Drosophila melanogaster: one gene and its partners. The protein of the gene in region 2 interacts with the protein of the main gene of each other region in a pairwise test. Each region holds a gene or a part of one and is shown on either strand. Other genes may lie near its edges.

Evidence for each region.
Region 1: the proteins of CG15459 (region 2) and RhoGAP92B interact in a two-hybrid assay, tested with the Drosophila melanogaster proteins (one large-scale study listed by BioGRID).
Region 3: the proteins of CG15459 (region 2) and fwe interact in a two-hybrid assay, tested with the Drosophila melanogaster proteins (one large-scale study listed by BioGRID).
Region 4: the proteins of CG15459 (region 2) and CG34109 interact in a two-hybrid assay, tested with the Drosophila melanogaster proteins (one large-scale study listed by BioGRID).

The regions. Positions count from the first base shown.
Region 1 is NT_033777.3:19,903,245-19,908,210, forward strand, and holds the start of RhoGAP92B (Rho GTPase activating protein at 92B), read left to right. Parts: upstream 1-1,919; 5' UTR 1,920-2,066; coding exon 2,067-2,116; intron 2,117-2,204; exon of another isoform or gene 2,205-2,386; coding exon 2,387-2,643; intron 2,644-4,436; exon of another isoform or gene 4,437-4,847; intron 4,848-4,966. Other genes in the region: Surf6 (surfeit 6), read right to left, coding at 516-1,324, 1,379-1,544. UniProt on the Drosophila melanogaster protein: GTPase activator for the Rho-type GTPases by converting them to an inactive GDP-bound state.
Region 2 is NC_004354.4:20,411,839-20,415,207, reverse strand, and holds CG15459 (uncharacterized protein), read left to right. Parts: upstream 1-1,626; 5' UTR 1,627-1,710; coding exon 1,711-1,767; intron 1,768-1,936; coding exon 1,937-2,788; 3' UTR 2,789-2,867; downstream 2,868-3,369. Other genes in the region: CG15458 (uncharacterized protein), read left to right, coding at 1,121-1,183, 1,246-1,374.
Region 3 is NT_037436.4:15,810,370-15,817,942, reverse strand, and holds the start of fwe (flower), read left to right. Parts: upstream 1-1,532; 5' UTR 1,533-1,666; coding exon 1,667-1,669; intron 1,670-1,886; coding exon 1,887-2,007; intron 2,008-4,316; coding exon 4,317-4,524; intron 4,525-4,589; coding exon 4,590-4,697; intron 4,698-5,045; coding exon of another isoform or gene 5,046-5,184; exon of another isoform or gene 5,185-5,701; coding exon of another isoform or gene 5,702-5,735; exon of another isoform or gene 5,736-6,723; intron 6,724-7,094; coding exon 7,095-7,239; 3' UTR 7,240-7,573. Other genes in the region: CkIIalpha-i1 (CKII-alpha subunit interactor-1), read right to left, coding at 1-711, 770-895. UniProt on the Drosophila melanogaster protein: Transmembrane protein which mediates synaptic endocytosis, fitness-based cell culling, neuronal culling, morphogen gradient scaling, and calcium transport. Regulates synaptic endocytosis and hence couples exo- with endocytosis.
Region 4 is NT_033779.5:10,092,452-10,097,131, reverse strand, and holds the start of CG34109 (uncharacterized protein), read right to left. Parts: upstream 3,045-4,680; 5' UTR 3,035-3,044; intron 219-3,034; coding exon of another isoform or gene 79-218; intron 1-78. Other genes in the region: CG44153 (uncharacterized protein), read left to right, coding at 79-218.

The DNA of each region.
Region 1 (4,966 bases), on a different chromosome or scaffold from region 2:
TGTGCGTGCGTGTGATTCTCGTTGTTTTGGCTGCCCCACTCGCTCTGCTTCTTCTTGCCAAATCGGTCACTATACTGTATTAAAAGATCCACAAATTTCTAGGGTCTCCAGCATTATCTGATCCACTTTTTGTCTCTTGTAAGTACTCGGAAAATCTGGAAAAATCGCAGCAATCCAACTAAACGATTACGATATCAATCGATTGTTGTTATCGGTCTCAGCTGTTCGCCGTTCTTCTTCTTGCCAATCTTTGGTGAAGCCGCGCAACGCACAGTGGAACACAAAGTGACACAAAGTGGACAAAAACGAGGAGCCAAATAGTGTGGCTTGGAACTGGGAATTTAGCTGTCTACTGGAATTTTGACTGTGTCGAGGCCGGAAAAGTAAATTTCTAACACGAAAGTATAAAAACGTAAATTTCAGAAAGATCACTTTTTTTCTAAAGCATTCTGAGTTGAATTTCAACGTGGCATACATTTACACTACTTTACACTTAAGGGCTATAGTAAGCATAGTTAATAGCCGGGTATGATGCGACCCCTCTTGCTGGCCGTCTTTAGTTTCCGGTTCTTCTTGTCCTTGCTGCGCTTCTCCAGGTTCTCCTGTCGCTTCTTTTGCCTCTTTTCCTTGTCGTGCTCCACCTTCTGCTTGCGTTCAGTCCACTTGGTCTTGGACTTCTTCTTCTCCACGCGCCGCTTCTTGATGGCCTTTTGCAGCAGCTTGGTGTCGTCCTTGACCTTCTTGCCCTCGACCTTGTCGAATGCGTTGCGCCAGGCGATGTCCGTCTGGATCTCCGCCGCCTTGTCCGTTTCGCCCTGTTCGCGCAGTTCGGTTAGGTGCTTCTTGGTGTCGCGCAGCTTCTTCAGAATCTCCTTGGGGTTTTGGTGAGACTTCTTGGCTTTGCCTCCAGGATTGGCGGCAAAGTCCACCTTGGAGTAGACGATCTTGGCCTCCTGGTTGTAAACCGGTTGCACCTTGACCGGCTGGATCTGTTCCTTGCTGTCCTCCGTCTCCTGTTCTGATTTCACCACGCCATTCTTCAGTTTCTGGTGCTTGACGTTCTCGTTTTTGAGGTTTTTGGCCGAGGAGAGGAGCAGTTTCTGGACGCCCTTGCTGCGTTTAAGCTTTTTAGATTCGCGTCGCTTCTGCTGTCGCTCCGTTGTGGGTCCCTTTTTCTGGCGCAGCTTGTTCTTGATGGAGGCAATGCGTGCCTCTACATCCTCGTCGTCGGAGTCTTGGTTTTTCAGTTTTCCCTGTTGTTTCTTTTTCTTGTTTCCCGATTCCTCCGTGTCCGACAGCAGGTACTCTTCGTAGGTCTCCTCATCTGTAGGAAATACGATAAAGTTAAAGATTTAAGGCTTTTCATTAATGGTTTCACCTTCTTGTTTGGAGTAGGGCACTTTGTGAATGGTCAGCAGTTCCAAGACTCGCTGATAGAACTTTTTGGTGATGGCGGGCAGGTCCTCCTTCTCCGGCTTCTGATCCTTGTTGTGTTCGATTTCATACTCCTCCCGCAGACATTTCACGATCTCCGCCTGGGTCATTTTCGAGAGTAAAATAACAATAAAACTATTATTTACGCACGCACACGTGCAGCTAAGCAAGGCGGTCGAGTTCAGTGTGACCCCACAGAATTCGGGTGTTTTCGACAGTGGTTACCCTAGCGCAAATGTCTGGTACCGCTACAAGTAGTAAGGGGTATTCCCCTATTCAGCGAATTTAAGCAATGGTTTCAGATTAAAGGAGATTGAAATTTAATAAACATTAATTAACCATTGCTTAAATTCATAATTCTAGCCTAAGCTCTGAGAAATCTCAACAGGCATTTATCAAACAGTGTTACCAAATACGAACTTTCGAAAAAGGCGCTCTCCAGCCTTTTGTCATTTCCCAGCGCTCCCGCTGCGGTCACACCCGCCTCACTTTTCCGTAAAACATCGTTGAAGAATGACTAATTTGCCTGTTTTAAGTATTTACTCAATGCCCAGCTAATTGCACATCGCAAACAAACACACAGCAGTTCAGTTCAAGTTGGAGACGCGAGCGGCACCAGCGAATCAGCCAAGATGAAGAGGCAGTTTGCCAAAATCAAAATAGCAGCCGAAAATCTGTCAAGGTAAGTTCAAAGGCCAGCCAGTCTGTCGGTCGGATGTCTGTGGGTGTGTGTTTGTGTAAGTGCGCTCCAGGTGGACAGACAGGTGTGTGTTGCCTCATCACGAAAGAAGCAACAGCAGCAGCAGCAACAACAACAAAAGCAGCAGAGAAGCAGCCACAGAGCAACTGCATCAATAACAAAGCGCGATGACAGCCGTAACAATAGTGGACTGCCGATGATGACCTAACCCGTGCTAAACCCGTGTCAAAATGGTCCTTTTCGCATTCGCAGATCGAGCAAGTCGGACAGCAAGGACTCGGAGCTGGAGGCGATCGAGCGGCAGGTGGACAGATACCGGGACACCATCGAGAAGATCGTCCGCAAGCTGCCGGCGCTGAGCGGCGGAGGCGGAAGTGGAAGCGGGAGCAGCGAGGAGCAGGACAAGCGGACCAAGAAGAACAGTCACTACAAGATTGCCCAGGCTCTGGACGAGTCCGCCAAGGAGCTGCCCAAGGACATGCCGCTGCAGAAGGTCCTCGCCAATTGCGGTTAGTAATCGGGCAACCGGGATTTCCAGTGAGGCAGGCAGTTGCGTAGGCGGTCATTCGCCAGAGGGGGAAGTTACAGAATTTGTTCTTCATCAAGTGATTATATTGATATTGCTTTAGGTACCTAGCTTATCATAGTTTGTTAGCATGTTAGCTTAAACATCCATATGATGTTTCTTACAATCTGAAAATAGTTCCCAGCTGAGAGCCCCTCCTTGCAGCGGCAATCAGCCATGCCTACGGCCCTGGTGGGTGTCATGTTGTCGCTGCTGATAAGGCGCACAGTGGTTGTCGTTCGCTCCAAATCCGATAATCGCCGCCAGACATGCACAATGGCACACGAACACGAGTACGGGTTCGCAGGGGGCTTGGAGAACACACTACAGTGGATGACTGTGTCACGGGCTTCGGTTTGTCTGTGTGTATTGGCGGCCTCGCCTTGTCGCTTGGCCTTGTGGCATTTACATTTCTCAACTGCAAACGGCAACATCAACATCGACATCCACATCGACGGCGTTTTTTAATCATTATTATAATTTTTATTATGACTTTTTCGCCGCTTTCTTTCGCAGCCCGTTCGCCCGCAGTATTGGTATTGGTTATTATTTGCGGTTTCGGCATTGTCTATTTATACACCTTTTTGTTTTGCCAGCCAAGTTAGCCCGCCCCCATTGGCGCCCGTTTTTATTGCCCTGCTTCCATACAATTCACTGCCCGATTCACTATGCATTTCATTTAAATTTGTTACACATCGCGCGCGAAGTGGCATAACAAAGCCCGGTAAACGGCGATAATTATGCTAGCTGCTTGGCTAGCTGTGGCTAGTAAAAGTAAAAGTCTGGGCCAAATTCATACATCATCGTATCGTCATGATCTCTTCTTCGCTGTTCATTTATTATTATTTGGTGGGCGCTCCCCCTAGGTCGCATTACTCATTCCGAGTGTTATTTTTATTTGCCTGTATTATTTCCATTCGCTGTTTCCCCCTTTCAGGCACTCTGCATTCCACATATTCGCAGATGCGTGTGCGTCAATTGCAATTGCCAGTTCTGCCGCAGTTGCAGCGATTCAAGAGCATCTCGGTGGTTGTGTAACGGCCAGGGATCTGGAGAGCCCCCCCCCCCTTTTTTTTTTTAGTTCCCCACGTTCCTGATTAGACACGAACGCTTACACATGCAACTATCGCAGCCACAGTGAACGTGTGTCCGTGGGTTAAGTGGAAGCTCCATTCGAATGCTCGGGAAATCATAATTGGGTCAAGCTGCGGAAATCGATCGCCAAACGATGCAAACATTATTTTTGAAAGGGCTATAAAGCCTAGAGCATTGTCAGACTTTTCTATTCAAATGTTTGGCGAACTTTACGTCTGTTTATTTGCAAATGTTTCGGAAACCGAGCAATCGAAAGTACGTATTATAAAATCAAACTCGATTTCATTCGCTTATCTTCATTTTCTAATTTTAACTAAAAAATTCGAGAGACGCTTCAACTTTAACAGTAGACACCTCATTATAGTGAGATATGTCATTGTAATTTACATTTACAACTTAATTTCTTTGGTAAATAATATATCAATGTTTAATTGCGAGCATAGCAACTTAAATGTTAGGCAACAAGTTGTAGCTGCCAAGCTCCAGACCCACGAAAACACAAAATTACCGCACCGAAATTAGCTTTTTGTCGCCAGTGTTATGTCGGTAATTGCGGTGAGATATCATCGCACTTTAACCCACTGTGCGCCCTTTGCAACTCTTATTGTTAGCCACGATGCGCTTCAATTCAAGCCATTCAGCAAGGGGAGCTAGAAGCGAGCGTATCTCGAATGTAACACTCCAGTGCCGACGTCGTCTTCGCTTTGGACTCCGTCTCCGACACCCTCTTCCTCTGCAACTGCCTATGCTTTCTGTGGTGCGACCTTTTTGCCTCCACTATGCCTCCATGGCGGGTTCAGCTGCTGAGGCTTGAGTCTCGGGGCACTCAACACAATTATCACAATTTTGCTTACTCAGCTCGTCATCCTATTCGCCGGGCAATTCCCCCACGGATTGGCCCAATCTCGCCCCGCATCTAAGCGGAGCTACTCCAGCAACTGAAAACCAACCAGCACGCCAACATCTTCGCAGCTACCGCCAGGCGATAAGGTCTTAAATAAGCAGTGACTTCCTCACTTGCGGGTGGAATGGAATGTAATAGTTGGGAATGGCAAGAGGCTGCGTGATACACACAGCAAACTATTTCCATTTACTTTATGATTGATAAAGCTAGCAAATAATGATAGTAGTTTCTATTTCCTTTAGAAGTTAGATTCGCTTGTACTTGTCTT
Region 2 (3,369 bases):
TTTACATATACTCCTTCAAGATGCTGATTTTAAGATATACTATCTGGAAAAAAAAGTTTTTATATTTTGATAGTCCACCAGATACCACCAGATATTTTGCTACCACCAGATATTTTGCATACCAGATGGTTGCTGTTTTTTTGTTTTTTTTCTGGAGACTCACATAACAAGTGGCCATTTTTTTCCAATATATTTAAAAATTTAATTACAAGGCAGGCATTTTAAATATAAGCCTTGTAACCCCTTAAGTAAGTCCATTACACTCACTTTAACCACCTATTACCTTGTATGCAAATGAGTAGTTCGGTTTGATTAGCATTCAAATTAGTTGCAAGTTGGCATTTATTTGGCGAAATGTATTTCATTTGTGCATTTAGTACAACTGATGACGTTGAAATAAGTAGTATTGCGTGTGGCATGAGCCCAAATCGCTGATAAAGCTAACTGCAATAAATAATAAATGTAAATTATAATATCACAAAAGGCTTATGTTTGCATTAGCATAACTGAAGCGTACAGCTAAATAGGCCAGAATGTTTACATGCTAGCTAGGTGATAAAATACATTTGTAGAGGATATATTAGATATATAATGGTCGATCGATATGCGATGTTAATATCAGATTCCAAGACTTTCATACGGACAGACATAGCCATATCGGCTTGGCTAGTGATCCTAATTCCGACCAGGATGGCAAGAAGTTCTGTGTGACATACAATTTTCAACGAATCTAGTAACTGGTTTAAAAATAGTTATAGCTGTAACATGCTTAAAAATTTCATAAAATTGTAAATGGTATTTAGCTCAATGAATTCTGAAGTTGGTTAAAGGTACAATATGAAAATGTCCAAAACTTTCGATTTGCCTCTTGCATATCTCAATTTTCATCACAGTATTTAAGCAGTAATTAATGGGTATCCCATTAGTCGGTACTAGACTTCAGCATTCTCTCTAGTTGGGAAACCCGAGTCGGCTTTGACGACTGTCAGTAACATTCCTTTCATTTCGAACGTTTAAAAGTCACAATCCGAATCCCGGTCTAAAATACAGGTCGAATATCGAATCCAAATTTTAATCTTTTGTTAAAAGCCACGCCAATCCGGTCAACAACGATCCAAAGATGTCCGATCATTTCAACTTCAACGAAGCCTTCAACAGCCAGACCATGCGTGGTCGCGCCAATGTAAGTGATTCAGTACACGGCAGTACACAAGATGCGCCCAAATACGCCACCGAAACCCACAGGTAGCCAAGGCCACCTGGGCCTCGTTGGGACTCGTCTACGTCCTGGTCAAGATGCACCGCCGCAACACGAAGCGGCGCGAGACCAAGCTCTACTGCAAGGGCTGCCAGCAGGCCATGCTCCATGGCTAGGGCGCCGATGCTGCCAAATCATTGAAGTCATGGCTCCCCACCGCTCCGACCCATTCGACCCGTCAGCAATCCATAACTATTTATAATCAGCACCCCCTTTCCGGTCCTCGATGCCACAGTTAAAGGCTTGGGGACCAAACTCATGTACCACCTCGTTGAGTCAATAAAAATCGAATCCTGCCAATGAATCGACTTTGTAATCTAGTTGGCCGAGCTTTGCACTTCGCTGCTTGTCATTAGGTTCTCGCTCGGAGCTATAGGCAGAACACACTCAGCTCTCACCCGGACCCGACCCCAAATCCAGATCTCCAGATCTCCAGATCCAGTCCAGTAGCAATGGCCGACGGCTTTAAGAAGTACTTCAATGGGACAACCATCAATGGACGCGCTAACGTAAGAGTGATTCTATTGAACGCACACAAGATAAAATGAACCATCGCTTTGGAGCTGTTGATGGACACAAAATATTATTTTCAGCTCCAAATTGAAATTCAAAATTATTAATTTAACATTTTTTTACATACATTTTTTACAAATACATATACTATGACCCATTTCGCAGGTGGCAAAGGCCACATACGCCACGTTGGCCCTGTTGTTCATCGTGTACAAGCTGCGCCGCGGATCCGGCAAGACCGGCGAGTTGGCCAGCGGCAAGTGCAGCTGCGAATCGGACCACGAGTCGTCCCTCAATGGCGACATTGGCGTCTACGGCGCGGATCCCGACTGCTCCGTTTGCCGGGAGCGATCGGAGCGGGCCATGACCGAGTTCGATCGCGAGCAGCAGCGCCGGGCGGCGGGCGAGGATGACAATGGTTGTCGCGACGATCCGCCGCCGCCACCACCTCCGCCCACATCGGGAGGATCAGGCTCTGCTCCGCGGCGCAAGTGTCCCTGCGAGGAGCCGCAGCGTCGGGCGGAGGGAGCCGTGAAGCATAGCAGCCACAGCAGCTGGGCGCGAGGCCAGCAGATTCAGCCGCCAAACCAGTACCAACAGTATAAACAGCCCGAGGCGGAGCAAGTGCGTCCGGCTAGCCAAGTGATGGGTCAGGTGCACGACGCCTTCTACAGGGTGCTGCGAGGAGTCGTGGGAGCCGTTTTGGGCAATGCGGCGGTCAACACCAGCGGCACCGCTTCCGATTCCCCAGCTCAGGCAGCCGCAGTGGAAGTCTCGCGGGATGAGCTGGACGAGGATGAACGTGACGACGGCCAGGACGATGAGACGCCGTTAAAGCGCCGCACGGCACCGCGCTCTTGCGTGCCCACAGGCAGCCAAGAGAACGCCTCGGGACAGCCGGAGGAACTGGGCCGGGAACAGGCCGACGACCAGCCGCAGGCGGAGGAGCAGGCGGAGTACAGCGCGTTCAGCGATGGCTTCACTTCCGGCCTGTCCTTTACCAGCGATGAAAAGTAGTTGGCTAGGTCTGGGCGTAGGCTTCAAGAGATCTGCTAAATTTTTAGTCTAAAATAAATACGAAGAACTTCTTTATCTCAGCATTATGCTTTAACAATCCATTACTTGGCGCCCCCGGGTGGATCCATTTCTTTCAGTCGTTGCAAGATACTAAATTAAACGGGGGGCAATTGCTTTATAAAGTATTTTATTTAGCTTCCGTTTAGTTCAGATAGAGTTTTCTTTGCGGCATCTAACTTTTAAATAGATCATCATTATAAACGTTTTTAGCCCCTTTGTGTTCTCGGGGTTATCAATATCAATTACGTAGCTTATTAACTGTTTTGGGCGGGGTTCGGACTCGAGATGGATGGGAATGGATTGGATTGGATTCAATTGGGTTGCGTCTAACGTTTAAGCCTTGTGTTTAATTATGAGTGGACTTCAACTAACATTTATATTTAAATTTATATGTATATATAATATAATATGGAAATAACTTTAACGTTTTGCTTTTTGGTTTCATTATGCGATCGACCGATTCTTTCGCTCTCTCGCCGTCTCTCTCTCTCTCTCGCTCTCTCATTCTCTCTCTCCTCATT
Region 3 (7,573 bases), on a different chromosome or scaffold from region 2:
GGATCCTTGGTTAGCGAAGGACATGTTGCACTCCACGCAGATGAAATCGGATACATTGTGAACGCTGTTCTCGTGGCGGATAACGTCGAAATAGCGTGGGAATATCTGGTTGCATCTGAGGCACAGAAATTCCAAATCCTTTGCGCCGCACATGGTCTTGTTGTGTTTCATCGTCTTCATGTGCTCATGTAGTTCGTGTAGTTTGTGGAACTCTGAACCACAATCGCGGCAATAGTAGACCGGATTCGGGCGGGGTTTACAAGAATGCATGCGTATGTGGGTCAGGATTTCGAGCACATGGCCGCAACAGGTGCACAGCATCCGAGTGGCTTGGGTCTTGTCCTTGAAGAACTTGGTGACTGCCAAGCCATCGCGTGACAATCCCACGCTGAAGAAATCCACGGACGCGGTTTTCAAAGATTCTTCGACTACGATCTCCATATGCTCGTTTTTTTCCAATGGATCTTCCTTCACTGGCTCCGCGATATGCTGATCGAAAGAATTCTCCTCATCATTCTTTTCCGTTTCTACCTCTTCTTTGTTTGATGTCACCTCCAACTTGATCTGAAATGCAGTGGAGTCGTCTATTTCGATGGGCCTCCGGTGAAACTCGTCCTGGGCCGTGCCCCACTTCTCCAGGGATTCGCTTATGCGCAAAGTCTCTCCAAAGCAGGGCTCGCAAATGCAGTAATTTTCCCCCAGGATAGCAGCCTAAAATACGTGGGTTTCTTTGCATTTGACATCCATTGGACTCACTTTCAGAACTTACATCAATTTTGTACCAATCGAAAAGTCTTTGCAGCAGTTTATTGGCCGATTTGAATTTGGGCTTCTCGAGATCGATCTCAATTGCTCGGTTATCCTTGCATAGTTTGCAAATTTCCGCTTCTGTCATTTTGCTGATATTTTCGAGGAGGTCCAAAAACCAAGTTAATAAAAGGCAAGTAATCAATGATTTCTTCGATGTCTGCTAATCGATACTATCGATAGATGTTTAATTTATCGATACAATGCAGAGCTGCTTAATGTCGATAGGCAATTGAATTAATCGATTTTTAATTTACGGACTTAGAAATTTATGCAAATCTAAAAATAAATTAATTTTGATTGATTTGAATAGAGATAGTTGTTCAGATTTAGGAGTTAGGTGAACGATCTGAGATCGAAGTGAATTTTCTAAAGATGCCGCCTGCATATTGAACGGTATAAAAGCTTTCAATGTACACAAATTTGCCTAACATTTGCTAAGAGAACCGGAAAATATTGTTTAATATCATAATCGAACAAAAACCAATTTACAAGTTTAGACTGTAGTTTTTTCATTACCTAAAAAAGTATTTGTGTAATTATTTGAATGTTCGAAACCCAAAACAAGAAAATACAAATAATTATGAAAAAAGTAAGAAGTTGACTAATTGCAATATAAATTTAAAAATTAAAAAATGTTGTAGTGAATCCAGGATACCAGGAAACTAGTTCCATTCGCCTCCGATAACTTCCGAGTATCGATAGGCTCTATCGGCCATCAGAATCGCGATCTAGTTCGGTTCGCGTGCAGCAGAACGCAAAGTACAACAGGATTTTTTTCGTTCCGTGTGACGTGAAAAGTGCAAATAGTAATTGTTCGAATTAGTTTAAGCCTAGCTAACTAACTAAATAAATAGCCATGGTAGGTAGTTGTTGATTGACTGAGATAAAATGCTGACGCAGTGAGCGGTGTCAGTGTGTATGCATGTGAGCCGCGCGTTAACTGGTGTGTGTGTTTTTGTCGTGGCAATGTGTGCGTGTTAAAAAAAGCGGCCGCCGCGTCACAATACAAAATTGTGCTTCGATTTTTCCTAATTGCATTTCGATTTCTCCCTATTTCCGTCTATTTCCCGGATCAGTCGTTTGCGGAAAAGATAACGGGTCTGCTGGCACGGCCGAATCAACAAGATCCAATTGGACCGGAGCAGCCGTGGTATCTCAAATATGGAAGTCGATTGCTGGGCATTGTGGCCGCCTTCTGTAAGTTGTAGGATATATAATAAATTATCTACTAGCTTAACACATTAAAAAGTTGGGAAAAACATCCGTGACATTGGGCGGCCCAAAAATATGTTGCATCGATTTTTGTGTACCACCCTTTGTTGTTGTTGCTGTTATCTATTCGTAGGTGTAGGTGTGCAGTTGTGTTCGTGTGTGTACGCACGCTCTCTGACATTGATAAAGGAAAAACAAGAGAGGGTGAGTGAGAGGTGAGAGGCAGTGAGAGCGGAGAAAGGAAACATGGAAAAGACAACACAAAAAGGATACACAAATTCACACACTGAAAAAAATACTAGTTATGTATGTAGCTAAAGTTTATTTTTACATCAAAATCAAAGAAATGTAGGGTAAAGTGTGAGATTTCCAAATGAATTAAGAATGAAACGTATAATTTTAAGGTAAAACAAAGTCCAAAAAAGGTTTTTTTTTGTTTTGTTATTGAAATATAAAATAATACATTCACCCACTTAACTAAGTGGGCTTCCTGCACTTAATATCTCTTATCTAACCATTTCGTTTGATAACTTTTTATTTCGTGTGTAGGAAATTGCAAGTATGTATAGGAGCTTTTCTGTGTCAAGTTTGGCGCTCTGCTTTTTCTTTCCGCATCGAATGTAATTCTCTGTGCCCATTCAATCGAAATTCGCACTGCCTTTTGTTGTATCAGCAGCTTCCCTCTTTCCATCTCTATTTTTAACTTTGTTTTACCCGTTTGCGTATTTGCTTTTTTATCTGGACTCAGTTAACCTTAACCCTTAGGCTGCCACACGTGTTATAAGTGCAATATCGTAATAAGTCTATGCGTATCTTAAATTCAATTGGGGCATCTTTTTTGTAATTTCATCATCACCTTCTGAATGCATAAAAAAATGCAGTTCAATAAACTTTTAAGTAGTCGTGATCTACTTTGATTAAGTCCAAGTCAATCTTTTTAATCGCAGTTGGGGTTTTGATTATGCTATTGGGTTTCGTGTCGTTAGAATACTTACAAAAATTATTTTAAAAATCAATCTAAACCATACATATGTATATAAATGAAAATTCCACAGAAACAATATGCCTCATTGACATATTATTCCTGGAATTTTTAGAGATCAACCAAAGGAATATTTATTTATTCAAAACGTTTTTAACATCTTTTTTTTCTCTGTACAAAAGCATCTTTTGTTGTTGGATATTCTGGCAATGATTCTCACTTAGTGAAATGCAGAAATTGCCCAACAAATGAACACCATCCACTTAAAATCAATATAAATAGCTGAATACCTCAATTAAGGGATCACAACTCACTCGTCCGGCTTCCACAATGAACCGGTTTTGTTTGCGTAAAATAAAACCAAAGTCTATGATTAATAAATAATTTTATAAGCCGTTCCGTGGAGCACAACGACTTCTTCCCCAGGTTGGGTCAGTTTGCCTGGCTTTAAGAACCGCAATAACCTCAAAACCCAGATCCGATTTCGCAAAAGGAAAAACCTAACTTGCGAAGCTAAATATTAAAAGTGGCCTAAATCGTGAAATCTTTTTTATTTTATTATTCATGTATTTAGAATTTTAGAATTCAACCTTTCCTCGTGATCTTTTGCTGCATTTATACCAGCCACTTTTATCCAATTATCACGCCCCAGGCATTTGTTTATCTGCGAATTATAGTCGTATGTGCTGTTTACTCTTTGTTTATGCTTTTATCATAGACCAAAAGCAGCTGATAAAATATTTTAATGTAATTCACTTGTACGCCCCTCTAGCGATATCGAATGGAATTTAGTGAATTCTACCTGTGAACTGAACTACTTACTATCAACTAACAATTTGCCCAACTGTTTTTCATGCTGTTTGTCACGCTTCTGTGGCTCGTTTTTGTTTAAAAAATTTTTAAATAAAAGAGAAGGCCATAAAAAGTTAGAAATTGGCACAATATGAGTCAGCGTTGTAGATTAGATTGCGTTTCCTCGTTTTTACCATACGGGGCGGTTGGCCCGACATAATGGGTCTAGTGGGAGTATGATATTGGTATTTTTGGTCAGTGTTTAGCGATAAAGATATACGCCTTTTATTGGAAATTACAAAAATAGCTTGACCTCTGCATACATTAAATACAACATATGATAGGAATGTAATTTTTTTAAATAATAAAAAATCAATAGAAGTTAGCAGTAAGCAGTAACTTGAGCTACATGGAAACAGTAGATTGAGGAGCAAATTCATAATAGCCAAGGAAAATATTCATTATTAGTAGATTATAACATTGCATAACTAACATCTTTTATCCCATGTTTTCCTTCCAGTTGCCATTCTTTTCGGCCTGTGGAATGTGTTCTCCATCATCACGCTCAGCGTATCCTGCCTGGTGGCTGGCATCCTTCAAATGGTGGCAGGATTTGTGGTGATGCTCTTGGAGGCTCCCTGCTGTTTCGTCTGCTTTGGGCAGGTGAACGAGATCGCGGAAAAGGTGGAATCTAAGCCCTTGTACTTCCGTGCCGGGCTCTACATTGCGTGAGTAACCAAAGAAATTTGTCACAAATTGTAATATTTCCTAAAGATTATGTTTTCCATTTCAGCATGGCCATTCCGCCCATTATTCTGTGCTTTGGACTGGCCAGCTTATTCGGCAGTGGGCTGATCTTTGGCACTGGCGTGGTTTACGGCATGATGGCGTTAGGCAAGAAGTGAGTATGGGGCACCTCGGAAAATCGCAGTTAAATTCAGAAAATTGCAGCTATGCCGCAGAATTTTTAAAAGAAATAGCTGGATTCAAATCAAACTGCATTGATTAGGCACTCATGTGTTCCTAAAACATTAATCTGAATTTAAAAAACAAGCTTTATGGTGAATTTCTGAATTTAAAGACGACTTCGATTATTGGGTTAGTTTAGTTGCTAAGCGAACGGAGGAGCGAGCGATTTAGTTAGTTTTGCTAAGCCATTTTTGCTAATCGAAACAAAATGTTTTCTCTATATTCCCACGATGTGCTTGCCACTGTGAAAACGCTTAAATAACTATAAACTAACACGTAGAGCTTCTCGAGAGGACATGGCCGCCGCTGCCACATCGCCCACACAGATGGCCGGCAGTCAGGCGGGCGGTCAGATGCAGATGGGCGGCGATCAGCATATCACACTCATGGAAGACCCCGATGTCTGGCGCCCCACATAAATTCCTAGCCGCGCCATTAGTAACTGCCAAAAAACCACACTCAGATACAGATAAAGACACAGATACTCAGATACACAGATTCACACACAAAATACTCCACTAGAAATGCGAACGATGCAAGAATTGATCGAGTAACAAATATTTTACGGCGCCTAGTTTTTAGTGTTCGTTCCGAGGATAAATGCAACTAAGTGAAAAGGAAAATCACTACAAAGCAGCATTGTAGGGCATCAGAGAACTAGTATACAGAACACCCCACCAAATACAAAAGAAAATTTAACGAAATTCTCATTACTGTTGAAACCGAGAGTGTTAGTAATCAAAGTATATTTTGGGCAAATGCATTTCCGTCATTCGACCCCCCGTTTTGCATGGCATTCGTACTATATTCGTATTCAAATTTTTTAATATCTTTCGTCGAGCGGTTGGTGTTGTTAAGAACTACAGTTAAATATATATAATATGCATAGAACAACTACTGATAACAATAACGTAACTCACATGTCAAACTCTGCAGCAAGCATATATTTTTAGTGAGAAACTATATTTGAAAGCTAACCGAATGCAAGAGGAACCGGAACCTATAAGTTAACCACAGCTTCCACACACTCACACACAGCTAATGCTAATGGAAAGCCACTGATGATATGGACAAGTGAATGTCGAGAACCTAGAGCAATATGTACAACTCAGAAATAATTAACTTTATATGCTTTGCTTCGATGTAAACCATAAAATTAAATGTTAAACGTTATTTGAGAATCGATTTGCTCGCGGGATAGTCACAATTTGAAATTGAACATAATCAAGCATACAGATAGAATATATATATATATATATATATACAACAAGTTGAGAATTTACCAGTTATATTTTTTAAATGTTGTAACCGAAAAGTGTCCATTTCAATTTGATGCATTGTTAGACGGTTTTCTTTTTAGACAATTACTTGGTTAATAGGATTTCGTTTTCGGGTTTCGTATGATTTCTTGTTTGCTAGAAGTATATGCTTATTTTTTTTAGTATACCTAAGTTATTTATAAGAGTTTATTCCAATCGTTTAACTTTGAAAGTCTGAGAAAAACGTTTTAAATTATTTTTGTTGTTGCCTATTGGCATTCTTACCACAGAAGCATTCCAAAATCTGTTTACTTTACGCATAAGTTATTGTATAGTTTAATTATTATAACTTTAAATATACATTATTTACAAGAAACTCGCGATAATTTATTACAATTTAGCCTTCGCCAGCAACTAAGAGTCTCACCTAAAGTAATCACGAATCATAATTAATTTGTTGAACTTTGTTAATCAATGAACGCAACACTAAAAATGAAAACATAAACATGTAAAATATTTCGTTAGAATTTGAACGCGCATGATTCAAATATCAAACACTTTGTACATGCCACCTGAAAACTGTCCAAAATCCTGCCGTTAAAGCCAAGTACATTCAACGACGGCCAACAGCGATTAACAACAATATACGATTTACGTTAACGAGTTCTGAACTTTGCTGCGTCCAAGAGATCACTACAGGCAAATACATTTTGAGCTTTCCTTTTTGTAATTGCTAACGATTGTAAATTGTATATTTTTCGTAGATTTTGTCAATGATTGATGACGTATTTATTTACTTGTGCACACGAAGAATGAAATTGATTTAGATTAGTTCCTGTAGTTCCCGGTATTTATGTAAGACTTGTATACTGTATTCATGCTGCCTTAGTTTTTTTTTGTTTGTCTTAGAAAAGCTTTTAGAAATATCTGGCTGTTCTATCGACCCTTTGGTTTCATGTAGGCAAAGTCACAGTTTTTAGTTGAGCACTTGTAAATTGTATAATTTTGGAAACCATTTGCCAATGTTTTGTACTCTAAAGACTAATGTAATCCTTTTACTTTTTCAACAGAGCATCCGCCGAGGACATGCGGGCAGCTGCTCAGCAAACCTTCGGAGGAAACACACCTGCCCAAACCAACGATCGAGCGGGGATTGTGAACAACGCCCAGCCCTTCTCCTTCACCGGTGCCGTGGGCACGGACAGCAATGTGTGATTCAGAAGCTAGCTGATCGGGATTTCGAGGAATCGAAGAGCTGGGTGTGCCGTGAGAAAACAAGACTCAAAACGCAACATTTGAAGGGCAAACCTAACCAAGAGAACATCGGCAGGCAATCATAAACATAATCATGTGCAATTTCTGATTGTTCAATAACCAACGCAAATGGATAACAAAAGTTTTTAAATCCGATTAGCTCTGATCTCTTTCTAGAGCAATCCAAATTACTCGATCAGAAAGAAGCCACCCAAAACAAGATCATTAAATTTTAAACCATTTTTGTATTAAATGTATGTAAATGTATATTGGTTTTAAAAGCGTTTTGCGTTTT
Region 4 (4,680 bases), on a different chromosome or scaffold from region 2:
AGCTCAAAACCTCGAACCGAAAACCGAACCACAGCCATCCTGTGTCTAATTAGTGTGACATTGTCTCCCCTTTCGCAGGAGCTGACCGTCAATCAGCCGCAATCAGGAGTCCGCGAGGCCAGCGAGTTCATCATATCCTGCACGGCCCAAGGCTCATCCCGGATGCAGTTCCAGTGGTTCAAGGATGGCGCTGTGGTTAATGCCAGCAAATCGACGAGGTGAGTGAACTATATATATACATGTCGCAGCTGCTTATCTTCCACAACCAGCTCGAAATGCCATAAACTTGCTGCCCGCGTAATGGAATATGGAATGAGAATGGAGTAGTGCCTAGAAAACTGTGAAACGGAGTCTGGAGTTTTAATAAAATAGTATAGAATCGAAAGAATATGGCAAAAATCAATGTCACACTCGGAAAGTCAGAAACGGGTGAAGACGGGTGGAAATCGCGAGGGATGACTCTCGTCACAAGTGTTCAATTTGACTTTATGACTTTTACACATCAATAAACATGACATAAAAACGCCAGGCGGAATAAAAATGAAATGGCCAAAAAGGATAAATAAGTCAGGGCAAAGATAAAGATTTGTCAGTGGCCATGGACGAAGGACGGGGTACAAGTTGGTAAGTTGCTAGCTGGGAACTGGAGGCTGGCTGGGATACTGAGTTCTGGACCAGACCGAAACCTAACCGCAGTAAGCCTAACCGAATGATTGATCATAAATCCTACAGAGTGGGCCAGCCGGAACACATGTGTTGGCCAACATATACGAATGGCATGCCCATTCCATTCCGGAATGCCTCAGACTTCCGACTACAGGCTCCACAACCCCGCAATTCAGATCCACTTTCGGATCCACTTGGCTGGCGGGTAGTGTGGGTGTATTACATAAAAAGCATATGGCCGTAACTAACGAGGGGCTGTTACTTGGGCGACTTGGCAGGGGTTATGAGCAGCTTAGCCCTACCAGGAGCAACACCACCCACTTTCCGCCCGTCATGTTGCCTTGACAATTCGCCTTGCAGCCGAAAGCACCACCACAAAGCTCAAACTTTAAATGTGTTGCGTGAATGGCAAACGAGCGAAACGGAGGTCCTTGGAAAGGATTGGTTAAATGAGTACGCGGTGCGCAGGGCGGTGCAGATGCCGATAGAATTCGCAATTCATTAACAAAATTTTAAGCCTTGGCAGGCTGGCTTTCGCCATTCTGGGACAACGCGTTTTTGGAAACTACATGTCACGAAACGTTGCCAAAAGTTGTTTTTATCTGACCAGAAATTTAAATTTCCATTCTCTTGAAATCTAAAAATATCTAAAATTTCAAGAAAATGCGCGTATAAGCTGTTTGGTTAGGAAAACATTCGAAATGGATCGAACTCTTTAGGAATATAACTATTATATGGTAAATTGTTGTTTTTATCTTTGCAACAATTTAACCAAATATAGTTTGTATTACTTGTTATTCAATCGGCAGATGGCCATCAAATTGATAACGATGTGTTCTATTTTTATGCGGTATTCGAATAAAGGATTGTTCATCCGAATATTACCTTTCAAATAAATAAATGTATGGCCCCCATTCCCGCAAATCGATAACCAAATCTATTCTCGGAGTTCAGTTTTTGTTATCTAGTGAAGCCAACTATGCGTTTTCCAAATGCCAACTGCTACATAGAACAATTCGGACCCTTCCATGGCCATTCCGCCAGCTAGCCCCATCCGATGATGATGATGGTGATGGAGGAGGAGGTGGTGGTGGTGGTGGTGGTGGGGATCCGGACTTATGATTACTTTTATGCATATTTGTACGGATCCCCCACATGTACATGGTATCCTTGTTTGCTGCAGGACCTCCACGTGGCTGGCAGACCTTCCATCAGTTTCAGTTTCGCCCAGTTTGCGTGGCCCACTCGGACGCATTGATGTGTAAAAAATGACTGCCGTACAAAGCCGCAAACATGTGTTTTACTCCACCCAAAATCCCCGCAAATGGAGGGTAGGCAAGTATTAGTAAATATTTTAACTAAAGTGAAGTGAGTGAAGTCATTCATTTGGACATTTACCAACTTTGCATTATACAAACGACTACACATTAAATCCGTCCGATGACTTTACTTTTGCGTACTAAAATAACCGGAAGTAAGTGAATTTTTAATGCTTGATTTCACCGCAGGGAGATGTTCACTTGGGCAAATGCTATTTATTATCGAAATATGGCCAATACTGGCCATCTACTGATTAGTTACCACCGATGGCTATTGGCAACCAATTGGCACATTTAGACAGTTTGCTTAAGGCACGTATAAAGTAATTGTGTTTAGACTTAGATAAAGGACAATAAATATAAGTATACATATCTAGTAACATTAACTACATTTTAAGAATATGAAGTTTCGAGCTTTCGGAACACTATCAACCAATCCGTTGTGGCCAAGTGTAACGAACCTTATGTTCAGATACAGATACCTTTAAGCCCGCAAACTGAGGCGTTCGGCCGTTAATCTATTGGATTGCCAGTCGCCGAAATTGTGACCCAGTTAGCAGATGTTTATCGCAAGCGTCGTAGGCAATAACCCACTTAATGAATGCAATTATTTTCCAATCACGGCACTAAGGCATCCAAAGCTGGTTGCCAAGAGGCCCGCAACCATGGCTAACTGGCCCCAAACTCCCAAAACAGGGGTGGCTTTGATTAACATGCCTTGGCGTTCCAATTGCCATTTGAAGGCGGTAGGTACACACACACACACACACATGTGTGTAAAATAATCAATGGCCACGGTCATTAATTGCGCCCCTAATCCTGTGTCCTTTGCAATCTGGGGCGAGGATTTGCAGGACTACAAGGCCGTTGGGCTGATTAAGTGCCACAACAGTAGTAATACAATTATTGAAGCAGCGGCTAAGCAAATACTTCTCATTAAGCCAACTTCGATTGTCTTAATTGTTGGATTTTACTTTTCAAAAATATCCTTAATCGCTTGAAATAATCGAGGTCCTTTTATTGTGCAAACTACACCACTTTTTGCTTACTTAAAGCTTGCGAACACCTTTAAAGTCTGAATTGAACTGAGTTCAAGACTGAAAAGCAGCCAACAAAGATCCATTTTTCCCACATTTTATTTGCCTAACAAATTCCAGCTAATTCGATCAACAGGAGCTTGCTAAAAACTAAGCTCTGTACGTTTCTCTGACGTCTTTGGCATCGATGTGTTATGTAAAAGCGGTGCACAATTTGTAGCCAGCAAACCAATTGACCTTTTGAGGAAGGAATTTAGATTCCTGCTAATATTAGCTTAACCCTAAGCACTTGCGTAATCTATATTTGTCCCAGCGCCATGAAGTGGAAGGGCTTGACTGCCTGTCAATGCAATTTCAAACCCATCTACCCCTTGGCCCCCATCCCCTTTTGACTTTTCTGCTTTTCCCTTGGCCAAGAAAACATCGACTTTTGGCTTGGAAGCTAACGAAACTGTTGCAGTCACTTTTGGCCGTGCTCTGAAAATTTGTCAAACTTGCTTAAAAGCCAAAGCAAAAATTCAATTTCAGCAGCCATGCAGCGCGAGCAGCCAAATTGCCTGACCCCAGCAGCACCAGACATAAGTAAAATATATATCGTATATATTTTACAAATTGGCTCAACCCGGGGCAGCAGTGGTACAAAAATGGCAGCAACAAAGAGGCAACAACTGTCTTGACAACGCAACGACGATGTCGTCGTCGTCGTCTAAGGACAATGGAATACAGCTATCGAATACAGGGTGCAAATCGAGAGGAAGTGGTTGTAATTTGGTCCCACGAGCCTTAAGGATTTGGCGGGAAATTTAATCCGACGCAGCTTTCATTATCTACAGCCAATCAGAAAATTTGGTTGCTTACTTTTGCCATATTTTCCGTAAAAGATAGCACCCTGTTAACAGCTGTTTGGATAGCACTGCAGTCACACTGAAAAAAAAAACGCACTAAAAAAAGTGTATTTCAAATTTTAAAATAAGTATACAATTTTAACAAGGACTTTTGCCACTCTTCATGGAGTAGCTTTCGATTTTCATAGATATCCATGCAGTTTCTCTTAGTGCATAAGTATCCAATGTTGCTGTGGGGTCACGATTTTCATTAGTTTCATTTGCCACAATGCGTCTGCCATACTCGTCTGCCGAGTTCAGTTGCTCGGATTTGCTTTGCTCTTCCCGTGGCGGGGTGACAATGGTACAATTAGTGACACCATTCGCCATTCCTCCAGCACTCGGTTTGATTCAAAATTTTTGGCATTATCTCATAACTGGCTCAACTCGCGCTGTGTGCACTGTGCTCTCCTTGTCCCGTCTTCCGATTCCGGCTCCTTGGCGCCGCTTGTGCAATAAAAGGACGAAGCTCCGCGGCTGATTGGACTGCTGGTGGGACGGGTATTGATCAAACAGTTCGAGTTGTCGGACAAGGCTGAGACCCACTTTCCCGGGAACGCGTGTCCCACTGAAGGAACGCGATACAGTAAAATCCTGATATATGTAACTGATTGAGAGTTATCACTTAGTAAAAAGCCATTTACCTGTAGCCAACTTAATTAAAAGAATATCTTTTGGTTTACGTGCATGTTTCTAAATGATCCTTTCCTGCATCGAATTGGAGTCGCACCTACTGAAGAGTCACTGTACTTAAAAACGCCATTGAAGGTGGAA